Macaca mulatta: one gene and its partners. The protein of the gene in region 2 interacts with the protein of the main gene of each other region in a pairwise test. Links are inferred from orthologs where the notes say so. Each region holds a gene or a part of one and is shown on either strand. Other genes may lie near its edges.

What was found.
Region 1: the proteins of PRPF31 (region 2) and RBMX interact in binary tests that used the Homo sapiens proteins (3 or more experiments, as listed by UniProt). The link is inferred for Macaca mulatta from reciprocal best matches to the Homo sapiens genes PRPF31 and RBMX.
Region 3: the proteins of PRPF31 (region 2) and JAKMIP2 interact in binary tests that used the Homo sapiens proteins (3 or more experiments, as listed by UniProt). The two-hybrid records come from large-scale screens. The link is inferred for Macaca mulatta from reciprocal best matches to the Homo sapiens genes PRPF31 and JAKMIP2.
Region 4: the proteins of PRPF31 (region 2) and myomegalin interact in binary tests that used the Homo sapiens proteins (3 or more experiments, as listed by UniProt). The two-hybrid records come from large-scale screens. The link is inferred for Macaca mulatta from reciprocal best matches to the Homo sapiens genes PRPF31 and PDE4DIP.
Region 5: the proteins of PRPF31 (region 2) and CCNDBP1 interact in binary tests that used the Homo sapiens proteins (3 or more experiments, as listed by UniProt). The two-hybrid records come from large-scale screens. The link is inferred for Macaca mulatta from reciprocal best matches to the Homo sapiens genes PRPF31 and CCNDBP1.
Region 6: the proteins of PRPF31 (region 2) and KCTD6 interact in binary tests that used the Homo sapiens proteins (3 or more experiments, as listed by UniProt). The two-hybrid records come from large-scale screens. The link is inferred for Macaca mulatta from reciprocal best matches to the Homo sapiens genes PRPF31 and KCTD6.
Region 7: the proteins of PRPF31 (region 2) and TFIP11 interact in binary tests that used the Homo sapiens proteins (3 or more experiments, as listed by UniProt). The link is inferred for Macaca mulatta from reciprocal best matches to the Homo sapiens genes PRPF31 and TFIP11.

What each region holds. Positions count from the first base shown.
Region 1 is NC_133426.1:143,221,444-143,225,664, forward strand, and holds the start of RBMX (RNA-binding motif protein, X chromosome), read right to left. Parts: upstream 2,801-4,221; 5' UTR 2,589-2,800; intron 1,643-2,588; exon of another isoform or gene 1,620-1,642; 5' UTR 1,509-1,619; coding exon 1,400-1,508; intron 1,353-1,399; exon of another isoform or gene 1,281-1,352; intron 1,206-1,280; coding exon 1,099-1,205; intron 214-1,098; coding exon 42-213; intron 1-41.
Region 2 is NC_133424.1:66,351,068-66,354,567, reverse strand, and holds part of PRPF31 (U4/U6 small nuclear ribonucleoprotein Prp31), read right to left. Parts: intron 3,070-3,500; exon of another isoform or gene 3,065-3,069; coding exon 2,967-3,064; exon of another isoform or gene 2,880-2,966; intron 2,778-2,879; exon of another isoform or gene 2,149-2,777; coding exon 2,042-2,148; exon of another isoform or gene 1,843-2,041; coding exon 1,673-1,842; exon of another isoform or gene 1,378-1,672; intron 1,101-1,377; coding exon 943-1,100; intron 780-942; exon of another isoform or gene 327-779; intron 1-326. UniProt on the Homo sapiens protein: Involved in pre-mRNA splicing as component of the spliceosome. Required for the assembly of the U4/U5/U6 tri-snRNP complex, one of the building blocks of the spliceosome.
Region 3 is NC_133411.1:156,547,899-156,551,398, forward strand, and holds part of JAKMIP2 (janus kinase and microtubule-interacting protein 2), read right to left. Parts: intron 3,305-3,500; coding exon 2,807-3,304; intron 1-2,806.
Region 4 is NC_133406.1:119,875,563-119,879,062, forward strand, and holds part of myomegalin, read right to left. Parts: intron 3,141-3,500; coding exon 2,914-3,140; intron 610-2,913; coding exon 466-609; intron 1-465. UniProt on the Homo sapiens protein: Functions as an anchor sequestering components of the cAMP-dependent pathway to Golgi and/or centrosomes.
Region 5 is NC_133412.1:20,576,697-20,580,975, reverse strand, and holds the start of CCNDBP1 (cyclin-D1-binding protein 1), read right to left. Parts: upstream 2,801-4,279; 5' UTR 2,705-2,800; coding exon 2,596-2,704; intron 2,393-2,595; coding exon 2,333-2,392; intron 2,053-2,332; coding exon 1,973-2,052; intron 1-1,972. Other genes in the region: TMEM62 (transmembrane protein 62), read right to left, coding at 3,587-3,913. UniProt on the Homo sapiens protein: May negatively regulate cell cycle progression. May act at least in part via inhibition of the cyclin-D1/CDK4 complex, thereby preventing phosphorylation of RB1 and blocking E2F-dependent transcription.
Region 6 is NC_133407.1:122,078,723-122,082,995, reverse strand, and holds the start of KCTD6 (BTB/POZ domain-containing protein KCTD6), read right to left. Parts: upstream 2,801-4,273; 5' UTR 2,715-2,800; intron 2,529-2,714; exon of another isoform or gene 462-2,528; intron 1-461. UniProt on the Homo sapiens protein: Probable substrate-specific adapter of a BCR (BTB-CUL3-RBX1) E3 ubiquitin-protein ligase complex mediating the ubiquitination and subsequent proteasomal degradation of target proteins.
Region 7 is NC_133415.1:25,044,238-25,048,530, forward strand, and holds the start of TFIP11 (tuftelin-interacting protein 11), read left to right. Parts: upstream 1-1,493; 5' UTR 1,494-1,559; intron 1,560-1,777; 5' UTR 1,778-1,854; intron 1,855-2,753; exon of another isoform or gene 2,754-2,830; intron 2,831-3,235; 5' UTR 3,236-3,321; intron 3,322-3,656; 5' UTR 3,657-3,665; coding exon 3,666-3,874; intron 3,875-4,293. UniProt on the Homo sapiens protein: Involved in pre-mRNA splicing, specifically in spliceosome disassembly during late-stage splicing events. Intron turnover seems to proceed through reactions in two lariat-intron associated complexes termed Intron Large (IL) and Intron Small (IS).

The DNA of each region.
Region 1 (4,221 bases), on a different chromosome or scaffold from region 2:
CTAACTTACACACCAAACCCGAGGTCTACGCAAGTTATTACCCATGTGTCCTCCCCGTGAGGGAGGTCCCCTGGTTCCTCCACTTCCTCCTCTTCCACCTCTAAGACCTCTTGGAGGGCCTCTACTTCTTGGAGGTGGAGGCGGTCCACGTCTACCACTTTCAAATGATGGTTTGGTGGCTTGTTCCACTTTGATGGCTTTTCCATCTAATGACTAAAAAAAAAAGATATGGTTAAATCAAGATTTAAACAATTTGCACATCTACTATGCACTAAGACACTAACGGGTCCTTCAAAATACAGTTATGGATAAGTGTTGCTCACTAATTAGTCTAAGAAAAAACACTGCAAATATAGCCAGTTAAATGGGGCTTTTCCACTTAAAATTCTTAATACTTGAAAATGATACTGATGGTCTGGATTGAAACATAACGTGAATCCACTGCATTACTGTATGGTAAAATTTAAAACAAGGCCAAGTAGGTATCAGTTTGTTATCAAAACTAAAAGCCAAGTTATCAAAATATGGTTTATGGATCTCAAGACAAAATGTATCATGTTGGCTAGGTGCAGTGGCTCACACCTGTAATCCCAGTACTTTGGGAGGCTGAGGCGGGTGGATCACCTGAAATCAGGAGTTTGTGACCAGCCTGGCCAAAATGGTGAAACCCCGTCTCTACCAAAAATACAAAATTATCCGGGTGTGGTCGCGCGTGCCTGTAATCCCAGCTACTCGGGAGGCTGAGGCAGAATAATCATTTAGAAGTCGGGAGGCAGAGGTTGCAGTGGGCAGATCACACCATTGCACTCCAGCCTAGGTGATAGAGGGAGACTACCAAAAAAAAAAAAAAGGTATCACGTAATGTCATAATTATTCTGAACCGAGAGAATGTTAACAGCGTAAGATATAACTCACTACCAGATTTGGTTCTGCAATTACAGAATACTCTTTGGAACGGGATCACAAACAGGATGAGTCCCAGACAGGTATATACTGAAAAACGACGAAAACTCAAAAGCTGCCCTAGACCAGACTTGGGCAACTATGTTATGTTATGCACTGTTAACAGGTTATCATCCATTGGGTAGACAATCTCACCTTTCCATTCATGTCTCTGGCTGCATCCTTAGCGTCTGCTGGGCTTTCAAAGGTGACAAAAGCAAATCCTCTTGATTTGTTGGTTTCCCGGTCTTTCATCAAGAGTACTAAAAAGTAGTTTTCAGAAAAATAAAGCGTTACCCTAGTTCAAATGAAATAACCAAAGTAAATGTGTAAACAGAAAGCTCAGAACTTCTTAGAGGACAAAATACATTATCATGTCAGACGATCAATGCAATCAAATTCATCATAGCTTATATTTTAATTATCATAGCCCAGCCTGTACTGCCAGACAACTCACCTTCCACTATTCGTCCATATTTGCCAAATACTGCTTCAAGAGCTTTCTCATTTGTTTCCGTATTAAGCCCACCAATGAAGAGCTTTCCTGGGCGATCTGCTTCAACCATTTTTTTTTTTTTGCCGGTGAGTCTGTTGAAAAGGAATAGTATTACCTCACTGCAAAAAGTTCCTCAAGTTTATTGGACACTTTTACTTTGGCACATTTTTCATATTTTCCACTAAAACCATTGTTTCTTAATAACTAAAGAAAGGGATAACAAACTAAGCCTCAGTCACAGTAGGAAGCAATTTGAATTAAGTAGATTAGTAACAATGCAATTTACATAAAACTGGTTAAAAGGGCCAGTTTAACTCTCACCACTACCCTTGACCACCCATAGCTGTTCTTAAGCAACAGCTGCTTAACATCTGAAAAACCAACTTCTAGTTCTAGTTCTGTTGCCTTTGAAAGATTCAATTACTCATCACGCCCTTCCTAACGATGGGGTTTTAAAAGACTCCCAAGGTCACAGGCCAGGCACAGGACCTTAACACCAAGCCCTCTTCCAACGTCCTCTTTTCCTATTTAGAATTCCCTACTAAATCCAAGGAGAAATGTGAAGTTTGAGCCAAGTTATGCCGCCTCTTCTCCACCGGCCCCCGCCCTACCTAAAATTCTACTATCCAGCCAAAAAGATAAAAACAAATTGTCAACCTCGTTTCCTATTAAGTAACGGAACGCGGACGCACACACTAACACTCGACACTCCGTGACTGCAGCGGAACCTAATTAAAACTCGTCATTAAAAACCGCGTGTAAAAGACAAAATGGCGACACTTGGATTCAACCCAGAACCACTGACACTGGTCAGGGGACTAACTTTTACCACCAACATTGGCTGGGAACATTCAGAGGGCTTCTTCTCCGGGGCCGCCAATGAATACGTAGCCCGCAGCCCGCATGGAAGTCCACATGCCCATCATTAGCGCCAGCGCCATACCAATGCAGGTATCGCGGTGGTGCGGTCGCTCCTCGCCCCGCTCCAGCCTACAAAGCCCCGACCTCCGCTACCAACTCCCGCAGGCGGCAGCCAAACTTTCTCGAGAGGCATACAACCAAACGGGCCCCCTCATTTGTTTTCCCTCGACCCCTTCTGCTTTATTTAAATAGGTCGGAACCTTTGGGTTCTTAAAATGGCGCCCGCCACCCCCATCTCCAGGGAGATATAATCCCCAGTCCTAACACGGCGAGAGTGTCACGAAAAACGGACTGAGGAAAGGAGACACGTACCGGAGGGGTGACAATGGGTTCAAGCTCCAACGAGCTCGCCGACACGGGCCTCCGAGCAGCTCAGCACCAGTGGCGGCTGCTCCGTCGGAGGACCAAACCGCGAAGCCGCTAGCACTACTGCGCAACGAGGGCGAACAAAGGAGACAGCAAACTTTATACTGCCCGGGAACGAGGCTGAAGGACCCGGATGGAAACGGAGCTTAGAATTTGAAACGCAAAGGGAGGGGGGAAGTAGTTCCCAGTCTCCCCATTGGCTGCCTCCTCTGTCACTCACTCTTCTCTCCTCCCTTTTTCCCGGGCCCTCCGTGTTGGGTCGGCGGACCTTTCTAACCGTTTTCCCTACCCCCACCCGTTCTTTACAAACGCGCTTTTTTTGCTTTGCTCTAAAATGGTGCACAGGCTTCATTTAATACAGAACTGAAATTATTGAGCGCCTAGTGGGCCAGGCACGATGCAAAACTTTACTTTTACTTTTCCATTAACTCTTCTAATTGTCAAAATGTGATAAGGGAAGATACTCCTACTATACCAATTTTGCAGGAACGGAAAACAAAGAAGTTTTGGCAATATAATATATTTTCAAAAATTGTCTTTAACAAGTGTTTTTAGTGGGTGTGGGCATTTCTAATAAATACATGTAAATTTCAGATGAGTAAAAAACATACAAAACAGCATGCAGATAGTTAATTCACATAGAACAATTACTGAGCACCTTGTAAATAGTGGGCTCTAGGCTAGGCCAGGAAGATGAAACCCCAGGAAAAGACAAGAGTCAGGCCTGTGGGTAAGGGTGCCGGATTTAAGAAATGAAAATACGAGGCCGGGCGCGGTGGCTCACGCCTGTAATCCCAGCACTTTGTGAGGCCGAGGCCGGTGGATCACGAGGTCAGGAGATGGAGACCATCCTGGCTAACACGGTGAAACCCCATCTCTTTTTAAAAATAAAGAAATTGGCCGGGCGCGATGGCTCAAGCCTGTAATCCCAGCACTTTGGGAGGCCGAGACGGGCGGATCACGAGGTCAGGAGATCGAGACCATCCTGGCTAACACGATGAAACCCCGTGTCTACTTAAAAAAACTACAAAAAACTAGCCGGGCGAGGTGGCGGGTGCCTGTTCCCAGCTACTCGGGAGGCTGAGGCAGGAGAATGGCGGGAACCCGGGAGGCGGAGCTTGCAGTGAGCTGAGATCCGGCCACTGCACTCCAGCCCGGGCAAGAGAGCGAGACTCCGTCTCAAAAAAAATAAAATAAAAATAAAAATACAAGAAATTACCCAGGCGTGGTGGCACGCGCCTGTAGTCGCAGCTACTCAGGTGGCTGAGGCAGGAGAATCGCTTGAAACTGGGAGGCGGAGGTTACAGTGAGCCAAGACTGCGCCACCGCACTCCAGCCTGGGCAGGCGACAGAGCGAGACTCCGTCTCAAAGGAAAAAGAAAATGCGGGACGCTAATTTATTCTACGAAGCTGTTAAAAATAAATAAATAAAAATATGGAACGCGGCCGGGCGCGGTGGCTCACGCCTGTAATCCCAGCACTTTGGGAGGTCGAAG
Region 2 (3,500 bases):
TGAGTTATGGGGCATCACCTGACCTGGAGACAGACCAGCCACACGGCAACACAGTCGTGTCTACACAGCAGAGCCACAATAAAGACTGAACACCACGGCCCAGGCAAGCGTCCCTGGCCCAGGCTTAAGTGCAGTGGTGCAATCTTGGCTCGCTGCAACCTCCGCCTCCCGGGCGCAAAGTATCCTCCCATCTCAGCCTCCCAAGTAGCTGGGATGACAGGCAAGCGCTGCCACACCGGGTTTTTTATTCTTGTAGAGACAGGGTGTTTCCAATCCCATTGGAATCAAGACAAAAAAAAGAGTCGGGGTCTCACTATGTTGCCCAGGTTAGTCTTCAACTTCTGGCCTCAAGTGATGCTCCCGCCTCGGCCTCGCAAAGTGCTGGGATTACGGGTGTGAGGCTGGCGGCCCTGTGTGTGCTGTCAGGCATCGATGCCGGGAGGGTGATGTGTCCTGACTGCGGGGAGAGGACACATCGCCCTCCGAGGTTGGTGACCTCTCCTGCTCCTCCTGTGTGTCTCTCCCTGTGGCTAATGTTAATCTGTTATACAGTCCCCAGCACAGCAGCCCTCAGGGGTTCCGTGTCTTTCCAGTGACGGTGGCCTTCGGAGCAGCTGCTAACCCGACGCTGCTTGTCGTGAGCTAGGCCTGCCTTGTGAGGGCCTCGTCTACATGGAGCCCTCGCCCCAACTCGTGAAGCAGGCGCTGTGCTCCCATTTTCGAGGGGAGGAGACTGAGGCACAGGGCACTCACGCCTCTTGCCCACAGTCACCCGACAGGTGTGCTGCAGAACCCTGGCTCTCACATCCCATGCTACCCTGTCCCCGGCTCCTGAGTGCTACTGTCAGCTGGGCCAGATGGTGGGGGTGGCTGCTCAGGCCGTCTGGGCAGGCGGAAGGCTCCAGGGGAGCCGGGGGAGGGGCTGTGACGCGGTGGGCTCACCGGGGGCAGGGACTGCACAATGTCACTGTGGTAGATGTAGCCGGTGTGGGGCAGCACTGAGGTAGACGAGAAGCCCGACAGCGTCTTGCGCTGGGCCCCGAGCAGCATGATGTTGCAGGCGGGCATCTTGGAGAGGTTGGTCAGGCCGCCGGCCACGCCTGCGGTGGGAGGAGGACAGGGGCGGTCAGAAGAAAGCGGGGGAGGCGGGGGTGCGCACATCTGCCTGGGGGCTCGACATGTGCCAAGCACCTTTACGTGAGGTTCTGGCTGGATTCCTCGGTGGCCCTGCCAGGCGGGCGACCTGGCCCATTCCGCGAGGGGCAGACGCAAAGGAGGCTCAGAGAGGGAGGGCAGCTGGCCTGGGGTGCAGGGAGGAGGCCCCCAACAGGCAACTGACCACCACGTTTGTGCTAAGCCACACTACCCCCATTCCAGGGATGTCTGTGTTTTGGAACCATTTTCACCAAACCAGGAGCCCCCTGACAACAGGGCCTGGGTGTGGTCATCTCTGGCTTTCCGGCACAGGGGAGGGAGGAGGAGCTGTGGGTGAGTGTTTCTCCCAGACGAGGCTTTGCTGTGTGCCAGGCTGGCTGACCTCTGTCACGTCCAGGGAGACGGGGTGTTGAGGCCCAGGTGCCAAAGTCCCCATTCTACAGAAAAGGGAAGCAGCTTCCCCCAGATCACAGTGTCAGCAGAGTCCCGCTCCATGGGACCCAGCCCAGGGCCTCACCCATGATCTTGGCGGCCGTGGACGCCCCAATAATGATGGAGAGGTTGGGCGCGATGAAGGACATCCGGGACTCCACGTACTCGTAGATGCGGTGCTTGGAGGCGTTCAGCTCCAGCGCCATGTCACAGGCCTCCTCCAGCCGCTCCAGCTCCTCCTCCGACAGCTGCTGCCTGCAGGGGCGGGTGGGCCCAGCCTCCTGGGTCTCCCGCCTGCTTGGTGCCCAGCACCCACCCTCTCAGTTGTGTGTGTGTGCACGTGTGTGTGTGTGTGTGTGTGTGCGTGTGTGTGTATGCCCACCTGCGTGGGTAGCTTCAGCCTAATCCCCAGTCCCACTGGCCCGGGCCCGGCGCCTCCCTCCAGCGGACATACCCCTGGGTGGTGGAGGCGGTGACGCTGACGACCATGATGGTGGCGTTGGTGAGGATCTGCTGCAGGTTCTCATTGTTCTTGCACTTGTCCAGGCTGTTGCCCAGCTCCTGGGCGCGAGCAGAGAAGACAGGGGAGGCTCAGGAACTCAGGAAGGCTTGAGAGCCTCTCTGGCCCTGCACCTACTCGGGTCTCTTCTCGGGGACACTGGGAAAGTCAGGGTCTCTACACTGGGGGCCTCTCCTGCCTCCACCGCCTGAAGCATCCACACCGTCTGCTCTGCTTTGGAAACGGAACCTGGGCAGAGCAGCGTCTGGGAAGACCGCGGCCTCACAAGCCTCTGCCTGTGTCGAGTCGGAGCACAAACCCGCGGCCTCGCTTCCCTGCGGGGGCTTCCCCCACCACCATCCTGATCCTTTCCCGGACACACGTGGGGACCGCCTCCTCTCCCTGCCCTCACCTGCATCCGCCCCTCTTTTCCGAAACCCTTCCTTGGCTTTCTCATAAGACCCAAAGGCTCAGTGTGATCCGACCTCTTCCGCGTCCCCTCCTTCCCCGCCTCACTTCCTCCCCGCTTGTTCCCTCTCCGGCTCTCCATACTTAACACATCTCTCTCCCCCAAATCTCCGCGTGCCTGCCCTGTGACGACCTTCGGATGTCAACTCCAATGCCACCGGCTCCGACCACAGCGGAAGCAGCGCGGGTCAGGCCAGCGGGGAAGCCCTCTCGGGAGACTGGGGTACGAGGGGAGCCCTGAGAAAGTCCCATCCAGGCTCCGTCCCTCTCACCCTGGGCAGAGCAGGCCACTGAGCCTCCGTCCACTCCTCTCCTTCACCTCCAGACCCCGAGGCCTCTGGGGGCGGGTCCAAGAGTGAGCCCTGCCTGCACCTTCACACCAGCAGAAGCACCGCTCCTCCTCTGCTCTCACCTTGACCGTGCGGATGTAATCCAGTGCATTGGGGACCAAGGACTCCAGTTCAGGGAATCTCTTCGAGTACTTATCCCGGATGAACTTATGGATGATGTCTAGGGTAAACGGGACAGGCGGGTGTCAGGTGAGACGGGAGGCAGACTCTGCTGGTTGGCCCTAACACCCACGTCCCCTTCTTCCTTTAGTAACTGAAGCCCTGGCTTGTAGCCTGGCATACGGGCACCAGCATACAGGCTCCATTTTTCAGCCGCCCTTACCGCTAGGTGTGACCAGGGGAATTAGTTCTGGTCTGTAAAATGTGAGCTGCAGTGACATGTTCTTAAAAAAAAGAAGTGCCTTGCTGGTGGGAATGCAGAGGCGACGGCTGGACGTGGGGCAGTCCCCTCGCACCACGAGGCAGGTGGCCGACCAACAAGATGGAAAGGGCTGGGGCCTTACGGGCAGCCAAGCGGCCACGCCGTCCCCGAGTGCTCGCTCAGACTCATACGCGAGGGAGCCACGCCGTCCCCGAGTGCTCGCTCAGACTCATAC
Region 3 (3,500 bases), on a different chromosome or scaffold from region 2:
ATTTCTCTACTTTTGATCTTTGAGGCTGATGACATTTGGATGGGGTTTCTGTGGGAGGGTCTTTTTGTTGATGTTGTTGCTTTTTTAGTTTTGTTTGTTGTTATTTGTTTTTCTTCAAACAGGCCTTTTTTCTTCAGGTCTGCTGGAGTTTGCTGGAGGTCCACTCCAGACCCTTACTGCCTAGGTTCCACCAGTGGAGAGACTGCAGAACAGCAAAGATTGCTGCCTGCTCCTTCCTCTGGAAGCTTCATCTTAGAGGGGGACTGGCCTGATGCCAGCCAGAGCTCTCTTGTGTGAGGTGTCTGTCGGCCCCTGCTGCGATGTCTCTCCCAGTCAGGAGGCACAGGGGTCAGGAACCCACTTGAGGAGGCAGACTGTCCCTTAGCAGAGCTGGTGCGCTGTGCTGGGAGAATCTCCCCTGTCAGGATCAGCCACTCTCTTCAGAGCCGGCAGGCAGGAAAGATTAAATCCGCCAAAGCTGCTACCACAGCCGCCCTTCCCCTCAAGTGCCTTGTTCCAGGGAGATGACTGTCCTGTCTGTAAGCCCCTGAATGGAGCTGCTGGATTTCCTGCAGACAGACCTTGCCTACTGGGGAGGACTCTAGAGAAGCAGTCTGGTCACAGCCGCTCTGGTGAATTCCACCCAGTCCAAAAAAACTCTCAGTCTCGTTAGCACTGTCAGGGGAAAACTGCCAACTAAAGCCATAGTAATGATGGTCACTCCTCCCCCGACCAAACTCGATCATCCCAGGCTGACTCTGGACTGCTGTGCTGGCAGTGAGAATTTCAAGCCAGTGTTTCTTAGCTTGCTGGGTTCCATGGGAGCGTGGGAGTGGGACTGGGACCCGCTGTGTGAGACTGCTTGGCTCCCTGGCTTCAGCCCCCTTTCCAGGAGATTGGACGGTGGTCCTGACTCATTGGAGTTCCAGGCGCCACTGGAGTATGAAAAAAAGAAAATCCTGCAGCTCAGTGCCTGCTCAAACAGCTGCCCAGATGTGTGCTTGAAACCCAGGGCCCTGGTGGTGTAGGCTCATGAGGGAATGTGCTGATCCGTGGATCGCAAATATCCATGGGAAAAGCGTAGTACCTTTGGCAGGTAGCACAGTCTCTCACTGCTTCCCTTTGCTGGGGGAAGGAGGTCCCCTGGCTGCATGCACTTCCCACATGAAGCGACACCCCACCCTGCTTCTGCTCATTCCCTGTGGGTTGCACCCACTGCCAAACCCGTCCCAGTGAGATGAACTGGTACCTCGATTGGAAAAACAGAAATAACCCGCCTTCTGTGTTAGTCTCGCTGGGAGCTGCAGACCTGAGCTGTTTCTATTCGGCCATCTTGGCCCCTCCCCTTCACGTTGCTATTAAGAGGGATTTCATGCCTACTTCGGCAATATGCCGGTGAAAGGAAGTCGTGGAAAAAATTAGCAGATCAAGTGGATATACTTATAGACTTTATATTGAAAACCGTCAACAAATGAAAATACTTAATGCAAAGCTGCCTTTTCATTGGATACTTACCTGCCAGCTCCAGAGTTCGAAGTCCTGATTCTTCATCAGCCACTGTCGTTTCAAAAACCAAAGGCAGGGCAGAGACCAATATTTCTGCACTGTGTTTGGTCTTTATTGTCAAACAGTGCAATAGAATGAGTTGACATAAATAATTCAGAAAATGTGGCAAAGGCAATATTTTACAGTTACACTGTATTGCAGTACAAAGAAAATTAAGCATTAACTTTTAAAAATGCTCTGTGGTAACCACTTTGAACTTAAAATTAAAAGCCTAGAGATATCACCCAAGGAACATAATTAGAATTCTCAGAAAGTAATTGCTTAGAACTGGAAGACAAAAAAGTAAAAGTGTAGTTTTTCATGAAAAAAACCTTACTTCCAGAGAAACATAAAGTACATTCTAACAGGTGATAGTTGATGTGATAACATTAAAGTAAGATGTAACAGATGCTAAACATCTGAATGCAGATGAACATAAATTTTTTTGGTCTAAAATAATTAAACCAGGTCAACCTAGGACATTTAATTTTCATGTGATAATTATATTTGTATTATAGTTAAGCATAGTGAGAGGCCTATCTGGTTTTTGGTCAAACATGTTAGAAGGAAAGACCAACTCTGTAGGGGCTGAGGTAAGTCTTAGAAACTATAAATAGCAAACAACCTACTTAGGGATGACAATTTAAAAATTATAATGCCTCCTGTTTTAAATGACTCCTGTATACTTTGGGAAAAATATCTATGTTTAAAATGACTAGGGATTTTATAGTTTTGTATCTTTTTTCAGTCACGGTTTTTGGAAAAAAAAAGACTCAAGATGTTCTCAGTAGCTGCCGTTTTCAGACATCATGAAAGTCATAGAAACTTCTCCTACCCTCTATAAAAACAAACAAAGAAACCATAAAACTCTGTAAAGGAAAAGCCCACAAAAACATGCTGACTTTAGAAGAATCCATGATTTATAATATTTTTATAAATATCTAAGGAAACAGGAGTCCTTTCCATATATATGGTCCTTGGAGATACTTTCTGTATATATGGTCCTTGGAGAATCCAGTTTTTATGAGAAAGGTGATTTCCAAAATCTCTTACACTTTACAATATCAATTTTGGCCGGAGCATATCTCTCTATTGATCTACCTACCTACATACTGAGCTATCTTGGATAGAGCACTGGACAAAAGGTAGGCACTGTTTACAATCCACTGACAAGAAAACACACGAAGAAGCAAATCCCACAGCACTCTGAAACCTGGAAGAGACGGGTTCTACATGGGTCTGATGGGATTACTGTACTAACCAGCCTCCGAATATCCCGTTCCGACTCCCACTTGATCTTCGAGATGGCTTCTTGGTGGGACTGATGCTCACTCCGAAGGTCCCCAGCCTTGATTTTATCTGCTTGGATCATATTGCTCAGAGCCTCGTCCACCTGCTTCTTGGCCGTTTTCAGGTCCGCAATTTCCTGTAAGAGCTTAAGACGCTCTGCATCAAACAGTTTCCGGGCCTCCTCCCGGGCCTCAATGGTGAGCGCTGTCCTTACTTTGTCACTGCTGCCATCACGGAGAGCACAGAGAGCAGACTTGAGCCTCTGGATCTCTCCATCACGCACCTTCACCGTCCTTGACATCTCCTGCTCGTGCTGCTTGATAAGGTTCTCCCTCACAGCCTGCAGCTCCTTCATCTTCTCCTCATGGAGCTTGGTTTTGAGTTCTGTCACCAGCACCGTGTGCTTGCGCTGCTCCAGCTCACGAATCCTCTTCGCTTCTTGAGTCTTCTCTCTTTCAAGCTTTGATACCTAAAAACAGAGAGGCAAAAGGATGAAGAGAAATGAGCCTCAAAGGACAGGTGTGCTCCTAGGCAGGATTTGCAGCTCAGGCCGCTGTGATCTCTTAATTCCTCATCTCTTTTCCAATTCCAGGCCCTCTGAGAAAAAAGAACTACAGGCCTTGAAGCTGGGAATACAGTGTGTAAAAGGCGGAATTACCTGAGGA
Region 4 (3,500 bases), on a different chromosome or scaffold from region 2:
ATGCCAGCTGAAGTGATATGCTGGAATTCCAGGCAGCGGCTGAAAAGGCTCAGTCTCATGGGGGCATTCTGTGATCATGTGACCGTGGGACCTGAGGGGTGGGAGGTGGGTGCTGAAGCTTTAACTGAATTTCAGCTCAGCCAAACTTCAGAGAGGTAAAGAAACTGAACCTTTATGGATTGCCAGGGTTATGATGTCTCCGCCTTCTCCACACCCCTTCCTCTTCTTGATTTTTTATCCAGGGGCCAGGGGGTTGGTGGGGAATGGGATGTATTTACAGCTGCAATGAAAGCAGCCACCATGGGTCAGAGATGTCCCTCCAGGGACACTCCTCTAAGGTCCTGTCTATCCCAATTCACTATGTGGCTCCCGATTTTCTTGAAAAGCTGTGACACTGAAGAGACAGAACAGTATTGGAGGGCAGGAAAACTGGGTTCAAACCAAGAAAGGACACTGGCATCTTACCACTTTGCCAGGCAGCACAGGGATGTGGGTGCTTGGCAGGGCCGCTCTCCAGAACACGGTGAGGAGGGAAGCCGACTCCTCTAGGGCATGGTGCAGGGCAGTGGTGCTGCTCCGAAGCTCATGTATGCCTTTGCTGCCCATCACCTGGGGAAAGGTAACACCACAGAAGCGGAGAGATTACTTTCTTCCCCCTGCATGGGCTCCCGCTTCCTTTGTGAGTGAGGCACAGAACATGGGCCTGCTTGAACTGTGAAGCCCTCGCACAACCATTTGCAGCTCTCAGAACTAAGGTGCTGGTCCCTTTACCAGGTATGCCTCCCTCCACCTGCAGAACCCACAAGGCTTTCAAAACTCACCCCCCTTGCTGTGTCCTCTATGAACCTGTTACCTTCCTTGCCTGAGATAAATGACCACGTTTGCATTGGCGGCCTCACAGCACAGAGGATGGCTTCTCATGCTGTGTCTGTAGCCCCTTACTGTGCTGATCTACTTGTGTGTGTGTCTTGCCCTCTAGTGTGGGGTTCCGTGGAGGCAGGGCTGTCCCTACGCATCCATGGGTCTCCAGCAGCTCAGACAGCACAGCCCTGGTGCCTGGTCTCTCTCACTGGCAAGGCGCTCTGAGAAGCTTTGCTGACTGCCTTCCCTCCCTCTATGCAGTCTGCACAAGGAAATGCCATGGCTGCCAGGCTTCTCACCCCTTCCACATGTGGGGGCCATACACCTGCAAATCCTTCAGTTTCTGTCCACCCCATTGTGTCAACTCTGCCCACAGATGGTCATGTGCCTGCATAAAGCAATGGTAACAAAAGCCAAAATTGACAAATGGGATCTAATTAAACTCAAGAGCTTCTGCACAGCAAAGGAAACCACCATCAGAGTGAACAGGCAAACTACAGAATGGGAGAAAATCTTTGCAATCTACTCATCTGACAAAGGGCTAATATCCAGAACCTACAAAGAACTCAAATTTACAAGAAAAAAACAAACAACCCCATCAAAAAGTGGGCAAAGGATATGAACAGACACTTCTCAAAAGAAGACATTTATGCAGCCAACAGACACGTGAAAAAATGCCCATCATCACTGGCCATCAGAGAAATGCAAATCAAAACCACAATGAGATACCATCTCACAGCAGTTAGAATGGCGATCATTAAAAAGTCAGGAAACAACAGGTGCTGGAGAGGATGTGGAGAAATAGGAACACTTTTACACTGTTGGTGGGACTGTAAAATAGTTCAACCATTATGGAAAACAGTGTGGCGATTCCTCAAGGATCTAGAACTAGAAATACCATTTGACCCAGCCATCCCATTACTGGGGATATACCCAAAGGATTATAAATCATGCTGCTATAAACACACATGCACATGTATGTTTATTGTGGCACTATTCACAATAGCAAAGACTTGGAATCAACCCAAATGTCCATCAGTGACAGACTGGATTAAGAAAATGTGGCACATGGCCGGGCGCGGTGGCTCAAGCCTGTAATCCCAGCACTTTGGGAGGCCGAGACGGGCGGATCACTAGGTCAGGAGATTGAGACCATCCTGGCTAACACGGCGAAACCCCGTCTCTACTAAAAACACAAAAAATTAGCCGGGCGAGGTGGCGGCGCCTGTGGTCCCAGCTACTCGGGAGGCTGAGGCAGGAGAATGGCGGGAACCCGGGAGGCGGAGCTTGCAGTGAGCTGAGATCTGGCCACTGCACTCCAGCCTGGGTGACAGAGCGAGACTCCGTCTCAAAAAAAAAAAAAAAAAAAAAAAAAGAAAATGTGGCACATATACACCATGGAACACTATGCAGCCATAAAAAAGGATGAGTTCGTGTCCTTTGAAGAGACATGGATGCAGCTGGAAACCATCATTCTCAGCAAACTATCTCAAGAACAGAAAACCAAACACTGCATGTTCTCACTCATAGGTGGGAACTTGACAATGAGATCACTTGGACACAGGAAGGGGAACATCACACACCAGGTCCTATTGTGGGGAGGGGGCAGAGGAGAGGGATAGCATTAGGAGATATACCTAATGTAAATGACGAGTTAATGGGTGCAGCACACCAACATGGCACATGTATACATATGTAACAAACCTGCACATTGTGCATATGTACCCTAGAACCTAAGGTATAATAATAAAAACAAGAAAAGAGGAAAAAAAAAAAAGCTCCCAAAGGCTGCTAGGCAATGCCACATGTTTCTGTGGGGCTGAGGGGAAATATCCAGTCAGCTACATCTGGAACAGAGCAGAACTGACAGTGAAAATAGGAGACAGAGAAGACAGGGCCTGGCTGCTGTACATGGAAGAGGAAGCCTCAGCTGTTGAGAGATGCAAAGCACGAAAAACAAAAACAAAAACAAAAATGGTGGGAGAAGGAGTTACCATCAAAGGAAGAAAGGGCACAAGGAAACAGTGCATCTAAAGCTACAGGTGTGATTACCTCTGTGCCTTGGGCTTCAAGGCCAGGGAAGCTGCACGCTGACCTCACAAGAGACACTATCTTTTTGGCCAGCAGCTTGCCCTCCACAATCTGCTGTCTCAGGGCACTGTAGTCATCAATGTGGCCAATGACATGGCGGCCATGCTTATTGGCAAAGGAGCCATCAGTAGCATCACCCTCCAGCTTGGGAGGGGTCTTCATTACTGGAGAAGTATCCAAACCCAAGCCTGGAAAAGAAAATAACAACACAACAGAATCCTCTGTTATTCATAATGATATCCTAGGTTTGCTCCAACTCAGAAGAGGTAGGAGACAAGAAAAGGAAGAGGCTGGGAACAAGAAAGGAAGCCTTGGAATGTACAAGGGTGGGGCAAAGACCATAGAGATCTTCTGGCTTCTATATTTTTGTAATTTTTCTTACATCATCTCTTAATGATAAATTTGCCAGGGGACAATTTTTTCTTATTGGCCAATGAAATAGGACAAATCATAATAAATAATAAGTTTCTGGGTAGAGAAGACACAGACAAGGAAATCAAGCTGGATACAGAGAACATTTTCAAGAATGGAGAGATTATGGTGCAATG
Region 5 (4,279 bases), on a different chromosome or scaffold from region 2:
TATCATTCCATGAAGATTGGAATTTTAAAAAAACAAAAAAAAACCCACCCATCTTTTAGTAGGACTAAAGTGGTGAGATCTCAAGAAGGCAATGATGATTCATGTGTATGTATGTGTATATATACACACATATATACATATATGTATTTATTTGAATATATGTATATACTTGAATATTTGTATATATTTCAAATAAATCCAAATTCTAATTTTTCATCTATGAGTAAAACTACTGTCCTGAGCATGTATAGAAAATCAGTTCTATGCTGCCTCCTTGTGGTATCTTACTTGCAGTGAGTTTTAGCAGCAAGTCCTAAGTGTATTTGAAAGAAAGGGGTTAGCAGATAAGAAAAATAAGATAATATTAACTATTCTTTTTGAAATAGTCTATTTTCCATGAATCTTTTAAAGTGCCGTCATACAATTCATCTCTTGTTTCCTCATCACAAATCTCAAAGGTAGGCCAGGCACGGTGGCTCATGCCTGTAATCCCTACACTTTGGGAGGTCAAGGTAGGCAGATCACTTGAGGTCAGGAGTTCGAGACTAGCCTGCCCAACACGGTGAAACCCCGTCTCAACTAAAAATACAAAAATTAGCCAGGCATGGTGGCGGGTGCCTGTAATTCCAGCTACTCGAGAGGCTGAGGCAGGAGGACTGCTCGAACCGCATAGGCAGAGGATGCGGTGAGCCGAGACTGTGCCACTGCACTTCAGCCTGAGTGACAGAGTGAGACTTTGCCTCAAAAAAAAAAAAAAAAAAAAAAAATCTCAAAGGTATGTGAGGAGGAGAGAGTTTATCACTGTAGGTACATGCAGCAGAAGATACCTATATTCTTTCCAAACACCTATATATGTAGACTGAGAAATTAAAACTATTGACTATGAAAATCAAATAAGGCAATGAATATGCCATTTTAAAGGAATCTTACTCCCATATTAAGGATACACAGCTCTAGAAAAAACTAAGCATAGAGCATACGTGGTCACAGCCAACATGTTTACTTTCATTAGTTTAATAATAAAGGAATATTTAAAACGCATAAATTCTTTGTTCTAGCAATTCCACTTCTGGGAATTTTTTCTACTGATATACATACATACACAGAATTACGTAATTCATCACAACACTGTTTGCAGTAATTCTAAGTTGGAAACAGCTTAAATGTCCACATAGAGTATGGTTAAATTATGTTTATATCTAGTCTATTGAATACCATGCAGTCATTACAAAGAACGGAACAACTTTATACTAGCTGCTAAGAGTTGATTTCTAAGCTCTATTGTTAATTTATTTAAAGGAAGGTCCAGAACAGTGTTTATGGTATCTTACCATTTGTGTAAAAAGAAGCTGACACATACAAGATAAATGTTTATGAATGTATATATGTACAGAATGTATGTGGAATAATGCAAAAGGAACTGGGGGAGACAAAAATGAGAAAGTGGATGGAAGGATAAACTTAACACACTTAACTTTGATATCTTTTGAATTTTATACTATCTGCATAGGTTACTGATTAAATATAAAAAATAATATAAAAAGGGTATTATGTAGTATAACAGAATAGGTGTACCTTAGACATCAGATAGACCTTGATTTAAATTCTAGCTCCCCTGCTTTTTTTTTAAATCTTAACCTGAGCTTCTGAGCCTGCTTGCTCATCTGTCAGATGGCCATCAAGTATGTGAAAACACCCAGCACATAAAAAGTGCTTAAAAAATTATCAGAAAAGAAACCACCAGGGTGAACTTCAGATTGAACCAATATTTATAAGACCTGCCTACTCCGCGCCAGGAAATGCACTTGGCAGTTCGGTCTTCACAACAAGCCTGTGAAGTAAAAAACGGTAACCTCATTGGACAGACGAAGAAAACAAATCTCCTGGCATGCGTGTAAAAGGTGGAAAGAAAATTAGAGGATTCCTAAGGTGTAACTCGGCAGCCCAAGGATTCCAGGAAAGTGAAGCCCACCTGTGGAGACGGCAGTGGAAGCTGAGAGAAGACTGTGGTCAGAGTCGTGGCTTCCCTTGACACTGTCACAGCTGCCTCATCTGGGGGGTGGCCGAAGAGAAGGCAGGTGCCAATACATTAGCGCTGCACGGACTTGGAAGATACGCGTTCCCTTACCGACCCAGACTTCTCAAAAACACCTCCCGAATGTCGATGTTAGAATTCTAGTTTACCCTCTCAGGTGCTGAGGTGGGTAAGGTATCTCACAGAAAGGATGCAGCAGGGGAGGGCAGTCCCCTCCCTGGGGGAGAGCGAGAGGGAAAGGGGTCGGGACGCTGAAGGAACTGAGGCAAGGGGAGCCGGGACAGGAGGCGCACTCACTGAGTCTTCTCCAGAACATCTCTCGATTAAACTCCTCGGTGGTCTCCTGGGCTTCGCCGACTTGCGGGTGTGGCGTGTGGGGGCCGAATGGTGGCGAGTGGAAAAGCTAAGGTAAGCGGACCTACCTCCCTCGCCCGAGCCTGGCTCCCCGCCGCCGCCGCCCCAGCCCGCCCTCTCCGCGACCCCGAGCCCGGCCTCTCCCCGATCCCGGCCTCTCCCCGAGCCCGCCCCTGCCGTCGCGCGTTCCAACTCCGTCAGCTCACCCCGCACTCGAGGCAGGAGCAACCGCAGCTCCTCCGCCAAGTGCCGGAGCTGCTGCAAAGGTGGAGCCAGGGTGGGGGCTGCGGCTGCAGGTGCAGTTGCGCTCGCCATCTCAGTCGCTTGCCGAAGGCCGCAAACACAGGCCTCCGCCACCACTGCCGGAGCCGCACTGCGACAGCCGCTCCACTTCCGGGCCACAGCGTCAATGGCTCGTTTCCGGCAACAAGCCGTCCAGCCCCGCCCCAGAGGCCCGGCCCCGCCCCCAGAGGTCCAGCACCACCCATCCCATTATGAGAGACCAGGCCTGGCCCCGCCTCCTCCCGCCCCGCCCTGTCCCCAGAGGTCCAGCACCAACCATCCCAGAGGCCAGGACAAGCCACGCCTTCTCTCGCCCCTTAAGCGAGGCCACACGAGCAAGGCTCAGGCTCACGGTCTTTCTTATTCATCATTCATTCATTTATTTGATTAGTTGAAAACACTTCCGACTAAGGAAGCAGAGAGCCCACAATCCTGCGGGAAAACAGGCCTGGGAACTAATATCTCAGCCGTGGTCAGGGTCGGGCCCAGATCCTCAAAGGTTCCCTGCCCTTGAAATTGCACCTTTGACAGCTGCTGAATTTCAAGCACAGCGGTAGGTGCTTTACATGGGGTAACCCCTAAAAAACACACTGGGCCTCTGACACTCCCGTACACACACCCAACCCCTACCCTGTGGGTGTCCTAGATAAGGGTTTTCTCTTCACAAAGATAAATCAACTCTTTGCCTCCTTGAGGAGGGAAGGAATAAAGGCATTATTTTTGAGACTTTTCTGCAGTCCATTCTGCAGGTATCAGTAGTGGGTAATCCCTCCAACATCCAGGAGTCCAAACGAGCAGCAGCTCCCTAAAGCTCACGCACCAATACTGGCCCTCCACCTGCTACTGGGGTAGAGGCCTAGGCTACAGACACAGAGGCTGGGCTTCTGCCCAGCTGCCAGTGGTGAGACATGGCCTTCAGGAGCTCAGGTGGCTTTTTAACTGCACCATGAAGATTCCAAGCTTGGCGGAGTTCAGTGTCCACACACAACGAATGAGAACAGGTGTCAGCAGTGTCAACCAGGTCCGCAAAGGGGAGAATAAAAAAGCTAGGGTGCCGTATGTCGCATAAAGAAAGTAGCAGGAATAAATCTGCCAGATGTACAGCAGTAGCATAAGTAGGTGAACAGGCATAATTTTCAAGTATTTTCTTTGATGGAGATGAGACCTGAAGTTGTGACCAAAGCACCGCTGCAGCAAGCTCCAACACATGTAAGCCATCAAGGGGATGTTAAAAAATGCCAGCTGGAAAAGAACAGAGCCATAGCTTACTCCCAAGTCCTTGGAAGAGTTTGGTCTTAATAATGCATCATTAGTGGATCCTAAGAATATGCTGCTTTCTGTCTTGGGGTTAGCTAATTTACTTCAAGCACAGTTGCTTATAACACAACAGCTGACTTGTGGCTAGTTGTGTATTTGCCCATGTCCTTTTATTCATCTTAGAGGCGGGTATCATTTAATTTATGTTGAAGTCCCAACTTGTAGTACAGTATCATATACACAGTTAATACCCAGTGGTGTTAAGCTGGAATTGAACTGAGTAAATGTATACACACACATACAACAACCCCTCTTTTTTGGTGGAGTGAGGGGAGCGCTTGGCTGTCAGTA
Region 6 (4,273 bases), on a different chromosome or scaffold from region 2:
GACAGTGTCATGTTAGCAGGTAATTAAGCTTAAGAAAACACATACTGAAGAATTTACAGAAGCCTTAAAAGAAAATATTAATTTTCTAAAGTAGTATATCTGAAGAATACATAATTCAGTAAGTTAATAACTTAAAAAAGTAACCTAAGAACCCTTAAATGCCATTCTCCCTGTCACTGCAGAATTGCAATTTCAGGCCTCATGGTTACGATGAACCAACCTAACAATATTCTGGGTTTATCATTCTTGCTATAGATTAAGAATTCTCCAGGGCAAAAGTCCTAATCCTGTATAACTACCTATATGTTGCAATAAAAACCTCCGAACTTCAATGAAAAATAAAAACTTCCAACTACTGACTTCCCAGAGTTTCCAGGCAGCCCTTTAAAATGCGTTTTTAATGAAACCTTCGTGTCTGGTAGTCAGAAAAGACTCAATAAACTCCCTCTCTCTATACTTACCTTCAAAATTGCCTTTTTACTGAGTTTTGCTCTTCTTGAAATGTGGGAGTTTGAAAGTGAAATACTTTTTATAGTAACTAGTTCAGCGACATCTAAAGGAGCCTTTGGGGTTAACATTCACATACAGGCCAGCACAAGTAGCCAGGCATACAAGGATAATGTGATTATGGTGTTACATTATCCTTAACCATACCACTGCAGAAATGGATTTTTCTCTAAAAGTAATCATTTTCTCTTTCTCCTCTCTCAACCATGTGGTCAAGAAGAGAGGAGTTACAGGTTTAAAAGTGACCTAATATTAAAAAGCTGTCACAAAATCGTAACACTCCTCTTAACCCTCAGTTTCCGAAAGGTAAGATGGGCTAATACCATCTTCCCAAAAGTAATTACACCATTTAGGCACTACACAAAAGCAAAAATTGGCCTATAAGAGTAACACATCACAGGACAAGGAAAGAGAACAGGTTCCCAGGGAGGTCCTGTAGTCGAATTTTGCTCCATTACTGATTATGAGACCCTGAGAAAATGACTCTTTATGCTCAGCTTCTTCTTTGGGGAAATGGAGAAAATAAAGGAGATCATGAATATAAAACCATCTGTAAACTGGCAAGTATTAGACAAACGTGAAAACACTAGTGGCAGCAGCATAAACAAAATTTCTATGTTAACATGAAAAACTTGAGTGTGAACAAAGTAATTTAGAGCATTGGCCTGGAGACGGCAAATATGGAGGAGGCAGCCTCTTAATTTGCTCTAAATCTCCCCGGGTCCTCTTTTTCCCACAGCTCCAGAAGGGAGAACTACATACAGGTAAAGGGGAGTGTCTAGTTTTCCCAGAGATCACCCAACATCTGAGCTCCTGATCTCAGAAGGAACTTCCTTAAAGCATGACTCAGGATTATCTCCAAGGTAAAGCTGAATCCAAATACATACATGTACTCCATTTTAAATGGACCCCAAATATCAAAATCCAAACGCACCGAAGGATTCATAGGGTTCACCCTAAGATTTCTGTAAGTAGTAATGCTTTGGTTAAAATATGATTTATGAAAATTCAAATCACAAAACTTTGGGATGGCATCCGTGGCTGTCCTGACCACTCCACTCCATCGTTCATATCTAAAGCATAGCACAAAATCAAGTATCTTTATGGACTGATGGTTTTCGGCCAAAGAGAAAATTCTCTCAACCTACCAACCCTGCTGACAAAACCATTTTCCTTTTCCTAGCTACATATTTATTCATTTGAAAACATCTCAATCTTGGGCTCAGGACTGTGCTACATGCTGTCCCCAAGCTTCTCTCCTATCCCAGGATGATTCAAGTAATAGGGCATTTGTGACAGCGAAAAAAAGAACATGCCAGGGGGATATGGAAGAGATGCTTAGGCTACCCCAAATATTCTTAGCCGAGCCGGGTCATCCCAGGTCACTTTGCCACCCAAACCTCTTCTATCACAAAGTCCTAAAATTGGATCCATCAACTTGTTCTAGAACTGGTATACTTGAACAGAAACATGATAACTTCAGCAGAATATCCAAACAGGATCTCTGTCACGTTTCATTTCCCCGTCCCACCCCCAGACACAGCCTCCACCACTGACAGCCCAGCAGGTGCTGCCAGGGCTCCCCATTACCACAGCCATTTATCACCTCTGACATCAAGCATTAAAAACGCCACCACACACACAAATCTAGGCATAAAGAACTCAGCTGCAATCTGAGTGTCTCTTCAGGGTAGAAAATCCCAAAGCCAGGGTTTTGAGTCCTGGCTCACGCTTTAAACTAGGGCAATTGGTGGCTAATAAGCGCAATCTCCCAAAAACAATCATTTTCGAGCACACCCCGAATGTCTCCGTCCGGGCCGTGCTTCGCTGCTGCCCCACCAGCGAAACCCCCACAAACCCGACCCGGCCAGGGGTAGGGCGGGCGATGCTCCGGGCCCGGACGAGGGGCGCTCCGCGGAGCTCCGAACCCGGGCCCGCAGAAACCGCGCATCCCCGCGGGCGGACCCCAGAACCCCCGCCCAGGCCCCGCCGCGGGCACCTCCGCCGCCGGCTCGTGCCAGCCCCGGGACGCGCGGTCCCCTCAACGCGGCCCCGCCGCCACCGCCCGGTTCCAGGAGCCCCCGCCCAGATAATCCTCTGCCCCGCTCCCCTGGCCGCTCCGCGCAGACGTCTCCCGAAACCCGGCCCTCCCAAGCCCCGGCCCTCCCAAGCCCCGGCCCCGCAAGCCCCAAGCCAGCCCCACTCACTGCGCGGCGGCGGCGGCGGCGGCGGCAGCGGCGGCGGCCGGGCCGGGAGATGCCCGCGGCCGGAGAGCGCGAGCGCGGGGACGAGCGAGCCCGCGCCCGGCGGCGGCGGCGGCGGCGGCGGCAGAAGGGACGACTGAGCCCGCGCCCGGAGTTGCGGCTCCAGCTGCCCGGCGCGGGCGGCGCCTTCCCAGCAGAGCCGTAGCGCCACAAGCGCGGGCGCCCCCTAACGGCAGCGCGGGCGGGAAGCCAGAGAGCCGGGCGGCCTTAGGAGCGAGCGCAGCCGGAGCCGCGCGGTCAAGACCGCAAGACCGCAGCCCCGAAGCCCCGCCCTGAAGCCCCAGTCCCGCCCCTTAGGCTCAGCTCAGAAGCCCCGAAGCCCCGAAACCCCGCCCCTGCGTCCCGCCTCCGTCCGCAGCCTGGGGTCCGCCCAGCCCCAGGCCCACTGCGTCCTCAGAGCTGGTGTTTCCACAGCTGTTTCTCCTTAGTCATTTCATGAACTTGTATGGGACCCCCACTATATCTCAGGCCTGGGGGTTTAGGAGATACAGCGGCTACCAAGACGCAAGCGGGTCCTAATGAAAGGAGAAGACAGACAAGAGTCAAGGAAACAGCTAATAGACAAAATAATGACAGGTTATGATCATAAGCGTTGGGAGAGGCGTGATTAGAGGACTTAGATGGAGAAGGGAAGGGAGCCCCTGCTTCAAACGCAGTAGCCAAGGAAGACCTGGACCCCGGACCTGCGGTCGGAGCCTCTCCTGCCTGCCCTGCACTGGGGAGACAACCCTGCGATGAGGCCTGTGAAGAAGCCCCCGCGGCCACCCCTCCGGCCTGGTGGGCAGGACAGCAAAGGACAGCTGGGCCCAGAGCCTCAGCAACACGGGCAGCCAGGTGGAGAGAAGGGCAGAGCCACCTTCAGCAGACGAAACGACCCGTGCAAAGGCTCTGGGGCCTGGAGGAGCTCGGCCCTAGATGAGACTGGCGCCGGTATTGTCCCCACTTCACCAGGAAGGAAGCCAAGACTGCAGAGGATGGGCAGCTCCTAACGCCTCAGGGCTAATTGGCCTCCATCCGTCCACTCGTTCCAAGTCCCATTCGCTTCCTACTAGCCAGGCCTCTGTCCCCTTCCGTTGGGACCGGTTACCTGATGCTGGGTTTAACCTTCTCCACCAGAATAACCACTGGCCTTAGAAACTTACTTGGGTTTCACGTCTGCATGTGTGTGAGCTAGCTCTGGGGTTGAAATTATATCAGCATGATCATCACAGTTGTATCTGATACTTGATTCTTCTCCAAAGCTCAAATTGATAGGTTAAATAAATGACATATGCTTCATCAACATACCCAAGTGCTACATGATCAAATTCACAAAGACTAGGTGAGAATACAGGGAAATGTGTGTGAAAATGATCAAAATGATCAGTACACAAACTAGTATACATGATATCCTGATTTTATTTTTAAAAACATATATACAGACAAAAATGTTGAAGGATCATCGTGTTCAAGATAATAGTATGGGGATGTTAATGGCATTGCTTCTTAACATTCTTCTGAAT
Region 7 (4,293 bases), on a different chromosome or scaffold from region 2:
TTTTCTGTTTCTTTCCTGAGTATATACTATGTGTCAGGCACAACGATTCTACATGTCACTAGGAATACAGAGATCATTAAGACACAGACACCATTCCTAAGCAGCCCACATTTAACTGGGTACACAAAAATCGTTGTTTTAATTCTTTTTTTTTTTTTTTTTTTTTTTTTTTTTTGAGACGGAGTCTCGCTCTGTCACCCAGGCTGGAGTGCAGTGGCCGGATCTCAGCTCACTGCAAGCCCCGCCTCCCAGGTTCACGCCATTCTCCTGCCTCAGCCACCCGAGTAGCTGGGACTACAGGCGCCCGCCACCTCGCCCGGCTAGTTTTTTGTATTTCTTAATAGAGACGAGGTTTCACCGTGTTAGCCAGGATGGTCTCGATCTCCTGACCTTGTGATCCGCCCGTCTCGGCCTCCCAAAGTGCTGGGATTACAGGCTTGAGCCACCGCGCCCGGCCTGTTTTAATTCTTAACAACTACTTGACGGTAGACTTAAGTATATGACTCCAAGTCCCGTGCTCTTTTTACATTCCAAGAATTGCCTCTTGGATCTTTTCATCACATAGAGCAGAGAGAGAAAAATTAAGCAAAAATTAACAGCTAACACTTTTTGAGCACCTACTGTTACCAGGTACGGTTTTCATTGCCTACAGTTTTATCTTATTGAATCCTTAACCATTTTGCCGAAGAGAAAACAGGCTTAGACGTAATGACTTGCCCAAGGTCCACAGCTGCTAAATTGCAGAGTCAAGGTTGGAACTCCAGAGCCTGTGGACACTTAAATGTCTACACGGAGTCCCTGGGCTAGTGAGGGCTTCCCAGGGAGGGCCCATGACTGTTCTGCTCATTGTATCACATTGGCCTAGCAGCACAGGTGAGGGGCACTCACTATATTTTAATTCGATCAGTGAATACATGAATGAATTTACCAGCCTGCTGGAAACGAAGAGAATGGAAACATCTCCTGGAGAGAATACTTGGGAAGTCTAGAGTTTGCCCATTCATTCCTTCATTCCCTCTTAAACTCCTTCATAAAGGCCACTGCCCTGTGCCCACGACAGCGTCAGAGACACAGGAGTCACAGTCTTGACCTTCATTATTCCCATTTGAATGTTGTGTCCCAGGCCCCTTATTGTCTCACAGTATTTACCACAACTACCCTATGGGCTAATCCTACATCTCTTATTTTACAGATTTACACTCTCAGTGGCAAAGTCTCCTTAGGCCAAGGTGGCTCAGCGGATTCCACATCAGTCATCACAGGCTGAGCGTCGGACTACAAAGCAGGCGCAGCACCGAGGCCGACTCCACGGGAAAACCACTCCCCAGCCATTCTAGACCTTGCAAATCCACCCCTCCTCTCTAAGATCCCAGCCGGCCGCTCTACAGCCATACCCGCCGTAGCGTTCCACGCTGCCGCGGCAGCCAGTAGGACATCCGCTGTCGACTAACGTCATTTCCGGCGCGCCAGCCACGCTGCATCCGGGTTCTGGCGTAGGAGCGGCGGTCTTCTCGCGCGGATTGTGAAGCTGAGTTTTGGTACGCTGGACCCTCGGAGAGGTGAGCGAGGCTGGCTACGAGGGGACTCAGCGCCAGTGGGAGTAGGGGCGAAGGTTCGGGGAAGGCGAGCTGCGGTCCAAGCCGTTGGGGTGTGGGGAGGGGAATCCATTTCGTAGACAGCTCTGCCGAGGCACGGAGAGGGGCGGTGCTGCTTGGGGTCTACTGGAATTTAGGGCTTGGGTTCAGTTAAGAACCTGAGCCTCCTTCGCCAAACCTAGACAGCAAGAGAGAGACAAGCCCGAGGCCTGACTTCTAGCTCTCCTGAGTTTGAGCCCTATGAGCAGTGGAACCTAAGGTAAGTGACTAACTTCTCTGAATCTCCTTTTTCTTATCTGAAACATGAAAACTAACGGTACCTACTTTGCAGAAGTGTCTTGATGCGGACAGTTGATAATCGGTCTCAAGCGACCAGCATGTACCTAGCATCTACTGATGAGGGCTTCATAACTTGTGACTACTCACTCAGGGCTTATTACCACCTACTATGCCCACGGAGGCAGTGGTATTATTTAACCTTATGTATTTGAGAGTCCCCACCTTTTCCGAAAACCCTTCTGTCTTAAACACTCCTGGAAGAGGTTGGGACCAGCTGCATCCAAACAGTGCACCAGTGAGTAGAAGAGGGCAGAGATAACGTTTTGCCAGAGGTGACCAGAGTTGGACACTGCCTGTGGAAGTAGTGAACTCCGTGTGCCTTAAGGCCGCTTTCAGCAAGACAAGAATCACAATTGCTCTCACCTGTTGAATGTATTATTGTGTAGTGCACCATGCTTGGCGCTTCGCGTGCATTTAATTCTCATACACTGAGTATCTGATAGAGTTGAATTTGAACTCAGGCTTCGATTTTAGCGTGCCAGATTTTAGAATCACTTTGCTAAGTTTACACCCTAGTGCCATAATAGTAATGATGATTGTGATGGTTAATACTGAGTGTTAACTTGATTGGATTAAAGGATAGGAAGTATTGATCCTGGGTGTGACTATGTGGGTGTTGCCAAAGGAGATTAACATTTGAGTCCGTGGGTGGGGAAAGGCAGACCCACCCTCAATCTGTGTGGGCATAATCTAATCAGCTGCCAGCACGGCAGGAATATAAGCAGGCAGAAAAATGTGAAAGGAGAGACTGGTCTAGCCTCCCAACCTACATCTTTCTCCATGCTGGATGCTTCCTGCCTTCCAACATTGGACTCCAAGTTCTTCAGCTTTGGAAATTGACTGGCTCTCCTTGCTCCTCAGCCTGCAGACAGCCTATTGTGACACCTTGTGATAGTGTGAGTTAATACTTAATAAGCTCCCCTTTATATATATATGTCTATTCCATTAGTTCTCTTCCTCTAGAAAACCCTAATACAATGATTAACCTAATCATGGGACTAAAGTAGAAGCTGTCGTTTCTTGAGCACTTATTTTGAACTCATTGAATTTGCCTTATAAGCATTCTCTAAGGTTGGTATAGTAGTTTATCCCAATTTAAGAAATACAGCTGAATTTGCTCACCCAGCTACCATGAGGTAGATTCTCTATATCAATCCCTGGCCATCTGACTATTAAAATAGTGTTCATAATTACTACAGTCTTTCAGCTCATCAGAAGAAATTCATGTGAGGAAAACTGAAAATGTTGTTTCATCAAGTAATGTATTTCAAAAAGCATGTTCTAAAAAAAATCACTCCTAGGACCACCAAGGATCCAGATATAATTCTTTCCTCAGTAATAGAAAAAAGAATCTGGGATCTAAGAAGATAGCCACTCATTTTCTAAGGCAATAGTGTACAAAATAACCTATTTAGTTATTTTTGTGTGGTTTGTGTATGTGTGAATATGTGTGATATTTATGATATTGGCTAGGACAAGGAAATATATACTTTTAAAGAATCATAGATGGTTGGGACTAGTATTTTGTTCACCTGTTTTAGTACTGATTGTTTTCTAAAAGTAGGTTTTTAATATTTTCTTTATTGAATAGTAATGCCAATTTTAATGGACTTTGAATTCAGAGAAAGTTCTGAAGGCAGCAAGGAATAGAGACTCACAAGGAATCCTCCTACTGCTGCCCCCAGAACTTATGGCCTGTGCCCTTTTTGTCTCTTTCTTTAGCGACTGGCCATGTCATTGTCCCACTTGTACCGGGATGGGGAAGGCCGCATTGATGATGATGATGACGAGCGGGAGAACTTTGAGATCACTGACTGGGATCTCCAGAATGAGTTCAACCCCAACCGACAGCGCCACTGGCAGACCAAGGAAGAAGCCACCTACGGGGTGTGGGCAGAGCGAGACTCGGATGATGAGAGGCCCAGCTTTGGAGGCAAACGGTACTGCCTGGCATGGGGGCTGCTTCACCTTGCTTTAGGGAAGAGGGGGAAGATGGGCAGGGAGTGGAGGAGATACCGTGATAACTATACTTGTCTCCTGGCCTTGTTGAGACTGTTAGCTGTGACATCATCTCGAGAGGTCTGGTTTCCTCTTTAGGCTAGAGTGCTGCTCTTTCACTTTTTTATTTATTTTATTTTATTTTATTTTATTTTATTCTATTTATTTATTTATTTATTTATTTATTTATTTATTTGAGACACTGTTTCACTCTGTTGCCCAGGCTGGAGTGCAGTGACATAATCTTGGCTCGCTGCAACCTCCACCTTCCGGATTCAAGTGATTCTCATGCCTCAGCCTCCCGAGTAGCTGGAATTATTGGCACACGCAACCACCTCCAGCTAATTTTTGTATTATTAGT